Linked DNA regions of Canis lupus familiaris. The protein of the gene in region 1 purifies or fractionates together with the protein of each later gene. This does not show direct contact. Links are inferred from orthologs where the notes say so. Each region holds a gene or a part of one and is shown in the gene's direction. Other genes may lie near its edges.

The links. Proteins that work in one complex are often made in the same cells at the same time.
Region 2: the proteins of GNG8 (region 1) and GNB5 purify together in Homo sapiens (co-immunoprecipitation; 3 studies listed by BioGRID and IntAct, with this or other methods). This does not show direct contact. The link is inferred for Canis lupus familiaris from reciprocal best matches to the Homo sapiens genes GNG8 and GNB5.

The regions. Positions count from the first base shown.
Region 1 is NC_049222.1:109,969,796-109,973,911, forward strand, and holds the start of GNG8 (guanine nucleotide-binding protein G(I)/G(S)/G(O) subunit gamma-8), read left to right. Parts: upstream 1-1,279; 5' UTR 1,280-2,757; intron 2,758-3,074; exon of another isoform or gene 3,075-3,158; intron 3,159-4,116. UniProt on the Homo sapiens protein: Guanine nucleotide-binding proteins (G proteins) are involved as a modulator or transducer in various transmembrane signaling systems.
Region 2 is NC_049251.1:18,128,846-18,132,463, reverse strand, and holds part of GNB5 (guanine nucleotide-binding protein subunit beta-5), read left to right. Parts: coding exon 1-34; intron 35-1,001; coding exon 1,002-1,168; intron 1,169-2,485; coding exon 2,486-2,497; 3' UTR 2,498-3,618. UniProt on the Homo sapiens protein: Enhances GTPase-activating protein (GAP) activity of regulator of G protein signaling (RGS) proteins, such as RGS7 and RGS9, hence involved in the termination of the signaling initiated by the G protein coupled receptors (GPCRs) by accelerating the GTP hydrolysis on the G-alpha subunits, thereby promoting their inactivation.

The DNA.
Region 1 (4,116 bases):
AGGGAGGGAGGGAAGTCAAGAATGACCCCAAAGATTTACTCTCAGATGGCTGAGGCTGCAGAAGAGGGTTTGGCGGGTGCAACCGATGGAGCTCAGTGTCAGTGCCGTGTGAGACCCACCAGACCTCCAGTTGGGAATATACAGCAGGCGATTGGGTAGTTGACCCTACTGTTGGCGTTCACTGCACATTTCTTGAATAATTCAAGCCAGAACTGAAGCCGAATCCAGGGTCCCAGTCTCCCCCTCTAAAAAATGGTCACAATAATACCACTGATCCTAGGCTGTCACGAGGCTGGGGCGATTCCTTTGCAGCACAACACCACACTGCACACCTGGAAACTAAAGTCATGCGTGGGGTGGAGAGACGGCTGGGGTCTGCAGCTCGGGCGAGAAATGCAGGTTGTGTACGCTTCAAGCAGCGTCCGTCGGTCCGTCTCCCCCGTCCCCCAGCGTCTGGCTGCCGTCTGGGAGGGGAATAGGAGCCTGGGTCGTCACCCTGTCTTCCCCCACTCTAAGCTGGGTTTCCTCCTTGGGGGCGGCCCGGGCCAAAAAACTGCTGATGGAAACCAGCTGCGGGAGGCGCAGAGGCTCGGCGCAAGCCCAGGCCCCTCCCCGGCGCCGGCAGACCCCGCTAAGGGGGGGGACGAGGGCGCCCCAGCTCCCCTCCCCCCCTTCCGCAGCCGGGCCCGGGGCCCTGGCACGTCCGGCGCGCCTGATGCTTTCCAGATGTGAGCCCGGTTCCCTTCCCCCACCTGGCCCCGTGTCTCCTGCGGGGTTGGCGGCGGGGGAGTCAGGGTCCGATACTCTCAGATGGAATCGCCACCAGGCACCCGGCCCGCTGTCCCCTCCCCGCCCTTCTCGCTTCCCCGTCTAGGCGATAAAAAGCGAATTGGGACCGGCTGACTGCGTGGAGACGCTCCTTGCAGCACCTCCGGCTCTCCCCAACCCCGCCCCTCGGGGCACGCCTCCTCCGGCCCACGCCCCCAATGGTACGCCCCGGACGCGCCCCTTCGGAACCCCGCCCCCGCCCCCGCGGCCCCGCCCCGGCCGCCCCGCCCCCGCCCCGAGGCCCCGCCCCCGGCCGCCCCGGCCCCGCCTCCGCCACCAGCCCCTGTGGGCTGCTCGGTGTGCGAGCCGGACTGTCCGCCTCGGTGTCTCTGGCTGTCTCTGGCTCTCTACGTTCCTGTGTCTCTCCTATACCCGGCACGTCTCTGTCTCTGCAACCCCCTGTCTCTTTCTCACCTAGTCCCTAGGTCTCAATCTCTCCACATTTCTGTCTCTGCGTCTCTCTCTGCCACTCTCTCTGCCTCTCCCCACCTCTCTTTGAATTTCTCAGCTTCAGTCTCTCGCCCTGGCCTCCAGCCCCCTGCGCCCTGCAGCGTCCGGGTCTCCCTCCCGGGGGTGCTTCTCCCGCCCGCCCTAATATCCCTCCGCCTACGGCTCTGGCGCGGCGGGCCGCGAGCGCCCCCGTGTGGTCATCCGGGGGCTGTCGCAAGAAGGCCCGGAGGGTTGAGTGTGGGCGCCCACAGGGGTGTGCGAGGGCAAGGAGAGACACTGAGTGTCCCTGGGTGACACCGGGGAATGGCGTGAGACGCCGAGAGATAGTATGAGCGTGTACTACCTTGGGATTGTGCGTGACGCTAGAGGTTGTTGTGTGGCTGTGTGACCTGGGGAGATTTTGTGACCACCAGACACAGGGTGTGACTGTGAAACCACGTGTTACGCCGAAAGGTTGTGTGCGGCTGTGCCTGTGAGATGGGAAAGATCACATGCAGGTGACTGCGTGGGACCCTGAGAGGCTGGCTCTGCCTGAGACACTATTCGTGGGGCTGGTGGTGACATTGAGACTATGAAGGAACGAGAGATTGTGTGGCACAGTGTGCAACGTGGGGAGACATGAGGGCCTGTGTGTGTCATGCGGGCAAACGTGTGTGACAGAGGGTGAGACAGAATGAGTATGACACACCCAGAAGGGGCGTGGGAAGTCGGTGTGACAGGCCCAAGGGGGAATAGGTGTGACAGAGGGACCGTGTGAGTGTGACAGCATATGTCAACCACACTGGTGAACTGTGAGAAGCCGTGTGACTCTGTGTGACACAGATCATGTGGGATAGTGAGACACACAAGGCGTTGTGACAGCCCTCCAGGGGTTGTGTGACCGTGCAGGGCACAAGCAGATGAGAACATGAGTGAGAGACCTTGTGCCCGTGTAAGTGTGCAATACACGAGACTGCTGGGTGAGGGTGGTGACAGCTGAGGGTAACGGGGACTGTGAGGGGCTCAGCAGGAGCTCGTTTGCATGATGGGGTGTGTGTGGGGGGACACTCTGTGAGGGATGGTGTAAGATTGTGTGTGACACCAGTAGACTGTGCAAAAGTGAGCATGAGTGTGTATGTGGGGATCCCTGGACGTGGGACTGCGTGTCACCGTGTAACACCATGTGCTGTTGAGTGACAGTGCTCAACAAAGATGTCGTGTAATTCCATGTCCCAGTGTGAGACCCTGACACAGTGAATGTGTGTGATGGACACACATTGAGAGACTGTGTGTGACACGGGGCGAACCTCCGTTTGCACCTTTGATACTCTAAGATAGTGTATCTGTGCTTGTGCCAGGTGGCACTGGGGATGACGTGACATCTGACACATTGTGAGACATTGCGTGACATTTTGAGGGGCCGCGTGACTGTGGCACTGTAGGACACTCTGTGGGGAACACCAGGGTGTTGTGAGACAGTGAGGTGGCGGGCACCTGCATGTGAGGGGGGCCGTCTGTGGTGGGGTGACCCCGGGGGGCAGCTGTGACAGGGTGGGAGAGCACGTGTGATGGGGGGGGACAAGCTGCACGGGCCTCACAGGAGGGGTGTGTGTGACCTGGCGTAAGTGTGGGGTGTGGGGCACACCTGTGAGTGAGTGTGCGTGCGTGTTCCGGAGGGACAGAGACAAAGAGAGAAAGGGAGAGACAGAGACACAGAAAGACAAAGGGGAAGGACATCGGGAGGGGGCCAGGGTGCGGGACCGGCGCGGTGGCAGCGGGAGGAGGCGGGCCTCAGGGGCTGCGCCCCGGGGGAGGGGGCGGGGCGGGCCTGGGAGCGGGGGACACCCAGACGCGGTCTCCCAGCCGCCACCTGCCCGCCAGCCCGGCCGGAGCTGCAACAGGTAGGAGGCTCGGGTCTCCCCACCGCGCAGTTAATCCCTCTGCCCCAGATTGCAGCCATGGTCTGTCCGCCTGGGAATGAATGAATGAGTGAGCGAATGAATGACTTTCTACTTCGCGTCTCCATCAGCCAGTCTCTGCCCCCGCCCCTCCACCTCCCTCTCCCTGTCCCCCCAGCCCTCCTCTCCTCTGTCCCCTATCCCCGCGGTGCCTCTCTCTGCCGCTCCGATCGTCCCTCTCTCCTTTCCCACCCCCTCACTCCATCCCTCCCGGACCCCCCACCTCCCCTTCTCTGTCCCCCCACCGTCCCCTCTGTGCCTCCGTCCCCCTGGATCACTCCATCCCTTTCTTTATGCCTCAATTTGTCCTCCCCTCCCTCTACTCCTTCCATTGCTTCATCCATCCATCCTCCCTGCCCGTCTCCCCGGTCCTGGCTGGGTTACCCGCCCCCCACCCCCCAGCCCTCTCTCCGGCTGCTAATGAGCAGAGGAGCCTTTGAGGTGGCCAGGGCTGGGGTGGGGGAGCGCCCCGAGGGGGCCGGAGGGGGCAGCTGCTGCCAAGGCCCTAATGAGGCCCCCTCTGCGCCTTTCCCGCCGCGATCTTAATTCCTTGTTCTCCCCGGAGCCACCGCTAATTGGCCTGGGGAGGCCCCCCTCCTGGCTCCTGCTCGGTCCCCGGGGGGCCCAGGACACCTGGATCCTGATCCAGCACCTGTGGCCTCGTTGGGTCCCTCCCTCCACCTGCGGGGCGGCCTCGCATCCGTGCTTCCCTCCTGCCTCCCCTGGCCCCTCCTGTCCCTCCCTGCACCTGGCCCTGGGTACCCCATCCTAGGCACCCTCCACCCTCCGCTCTTACCCCTCTCCTCCCACACGTCCTGCTTTGGCCTGCCTCTGCCACCCCACCCCCGTCTGTGCGTGTCTCTTCATTCCTCCTCCGCCCCCCCCCCCGTTTTCCTGTCCC
Region 2 (3,618 bases), on another chromosome or scaffold:
TTTGGAGCATCCAGTGTGGACTTCTCCCTCAGTGGTAAGATTTTCTTTTAGAAGCTTCCCTGGGGCTGTAAGACAGGATATAAATGAAACCCAGCTTTCCATCAAGCTTTCCCTCAGCTGAACTTCCTGGGAGCCAATGTGTTAAGCAATCTGCATTTGCACTGGTTTTCTTCCACGAGCCCCCACCCCCACTTCACCGCACCTGAAGCGGCCTCCCCACTCCATTCATTTTACAGGAAATGAAGGCTGTGCCACCTAATGCTGTTCTTCAAGACAACGATGCATGAAACTTCACATCTGCAGAGCCATTCACTAGGCATTTCCTCCTCTGCCTTCCATTCTCCCCTTTTTCCCTGAAAAGGGACTTTTTCCAGCTGTAGGGGGAGTGAAGCAAGAGCCCTTTTCTCGATGCCTTGAAGCTCATGCCACCTGTGCCTCACAGCTGGGGATGCGGCTAGTAAGAGTTAGGGCAGCACAGATAGGAACATTCAGTTTCCCCAGACACAGCTCCCCAGGCTAAATCTGTGCTTTTAGGCATGCATGCTGCTGCTGCCTACAACATCTTTTGCCTCCCTTCTCTGCCTGGCAAACTCCTACTCAGCCCTCAAGAGCGAACTCATGTTACTTCCTGTGTAGTGCCCTCCTTGATTCCCCTTCCTCCATGAGCACATAGCATTGTACACACAGCTAAGCATTTCCAATACAGCCCTTATTACATGGTGCTACCATGTGTCCATTTATTGTCTACTTGCCTGCCCACCACCACCCTCCACAAGGGACAGTAACCGTGCTCTCTTCTCAGAATCCCCAGGGCAAAGCATAATGCCTGGCACATAGCAGGCCCAAAATCACTGTTGATTGAATGAATGAATGAATGAATGAATGAATGAATGAATGAATGAGCGAGCAAGTGACTGCATGATCGCATGAGTGAAAGTCATGAAAAGAAAAACAGAAAGGGAAGAACTGGTTCAATAACCATCATATCCTCCTACTTTGAGGTCGCCTACTATTTGCTGGATACAACGATTATACCATCAATGTCTGGGATGTTCTTAAGGGGTCCCGAGTCTCCATCCTGTTTGGACATGAAAACCGAGTCAGCACTCTGCGAGTTTCCCCTGATGGGACTGCTTTTTGTTCAGGATCATGGGATCATACCCTAAGAGTAAGAGACACATTTTTTTATTTTACTGTGTGTGTGAGAGGAAGAGTGATTGGCCTTCTTAAAGCAGAGGCTCAGCGTAAACATGGGGCATGTCAGCCAGACAGTGCTCTAATTTCAGCTCATGGCCCCAGAACCGATCCATTGCCCCAGAGAGGTAGGGAGTCCCCCCATCAAGGCAGGTGTTCAAACTTGGTTAAATAACTATGTATCAGCATGTAATTGAAGTAATAATTGGGCCAGGTGACTCAAGCAGTTCCCATTGATCCTGAAAGTAGGATTCTTCTGATTCTATCTTGGGCAAACCACAGTGTCAATCTCACCTCTCAGTGGTGCAACCTTCTTATTCCATGGTGACACACCTTTGTGAGACCCACAGAGGGGCTTTAGGGAACTCATGAAGTCCCCAAAATTATAGGTCACATTTAATGTGTCCATTTTTCTGGGAAGAGTTGTCCTCATGGCTTTCATCAGATTCTCAAAGAGCTCTATGACCTTGTTGGATGTTGGCTCCTCATAAATAGCTCCAAAATAGCCTATTCATAAAGCAAAGTTTATTTCTTAAGTTTCTAAGTTTATTTCTTACCTCGGTGGGGACAGAGCACAAACTTGACAGTCTTAGTGGCCTCTCAGAATATAAGAACAAAGACATATGTTTAGGAGGTATGGGGAAGGGGGGGTCTGGTTTAAGGCCAGATGCAGGGATTTAATTAGGATCGGACATTTGTGGAATAATAATTTTAAGATTGCTGGACACATAGTTAGGGGAGGAAGAGGATTTTGAAGACAGTCTTGAAAAGTAACCAGTCATTTGTTGATGCTCTGGGTAGGCCTGAGAAGTGAATGTCTTTTCTAAAAAGGGTAGTTTGAGTAGTCTACTCTTAGGATAAATAAAGGATTTTTGTGAGGTTCCTAAAACATACAACAAAGGTATCTGTGAATTCATCTTCCAGGGCAAGAGTTTCCTAAATCAGTAAAGTCACCTTAATGTACTCAGTGAGGTGTGTGGGTACAGATGGTTTAGGTGCTCAGCCTAGGAGTTACCAGTCCCTGGTAGGAAGGCCACAGATGCCCTGCAGATGATTCAGCAGAGCTAGGGGGAGAGGCAGGTCCAAAGAAGCACCTTTGAGTTGCCAGGAGTAAGGTGTTATGCATCCAAAATATGAGTGCTTTATTTTGGATGGGGCACGTGTGTGTGTGTGTGTGTGTGTGTGTGTGTGTGTGTGTGTGTGTGTAAAACATTGTTTCTGTCTTTAAACTCAAGTTTCACAAGTCGTTAATTACTAAGGGACTAACAATTATCTGTTGGTGGCTTTGCAGGTCTGGGCTTAATCATCTCCTCGAGATGCACACGTAGGCACCTGAGAGTAGAATTTGAAATCGTCATATGTAAATAGTTCTTTCTTCTAGAGAATCTGAGGGTTATTGCAATGTAGATTACAGGAGCAACTCCACGGATGCAAGTTCACTCTGTGTCTCTGATATTCCTATTACGACTTCCACCCCTGGAAACACACCGGTGTGGGCCTTCAGCACTAGAACACCTTCAAGTACAGTGTTTTGCATTTTAAATGCTTTTTAAAATGTATCCATTTTTAAGGTTATTCTAATTATACAGTCTCAATGCATCCTATTACCAGTAGGATTCAGCATATAATACGTCCCCAGGACTTTCTTGAATCAGATTTGTTTTCAGAGCACTTTAGAATCTGATTCTCTCAGCGTGCACTGTGTCTTTTGGAAACTTCCTCTGGAAGTGCTGATCTCAGCGGACTATATGAGGCAGACCATGTTGATTGGTGATCTGTGATAGAAAATTCGTAATTGGACAAAATCCCTTTCTAAAAAAATATTTTTATTGTAAAATTTTCTTTTTCAGTCTCACATCTTTTTTCAGAGCAAACATTTCCTTCTGTGTGAACGGTCATAAATAGAGGAGAGAGATCCATCAAGTGGACAGGATGTTTGATTTATGAATTCCATGAGTGATGCGATGAATCGCTTGGACAGGATCCTTCCTGTCATTTGAGAGAAAAGCGGTTTGTGACACAAATGCTTCCCAGAGAAACCAAAACCTTTCTTGTGTGGGAACATAAGACAGTAAACTTACTTAAAAACCTGTTAGTAGTATTAGATGTATTAGAACTAGTAGTATCCACTCAGGCTACAGTAGATCATATCCATATGAAGCATATTCATATTTATTGCACTGAAAATATAATTACATACACAAATTAGTTGATAGGCCCCGAGTGATAATGTCTCTGTGTGTCTTAGATTGAGAAAAAATAACACAGAAAATACCTGTCTTTATTTGAAATTCAGCATTTCCTTCTGGAAGACACTACCTGTTTTTGTTAGGAGATTCCCTCTTTTCCTTGTTCTTAAGGTGTTGAGGCTTAATCTTTGTTTTAGCAAACCCCTCATTCATAAAGATAGCATGCATTACTTAG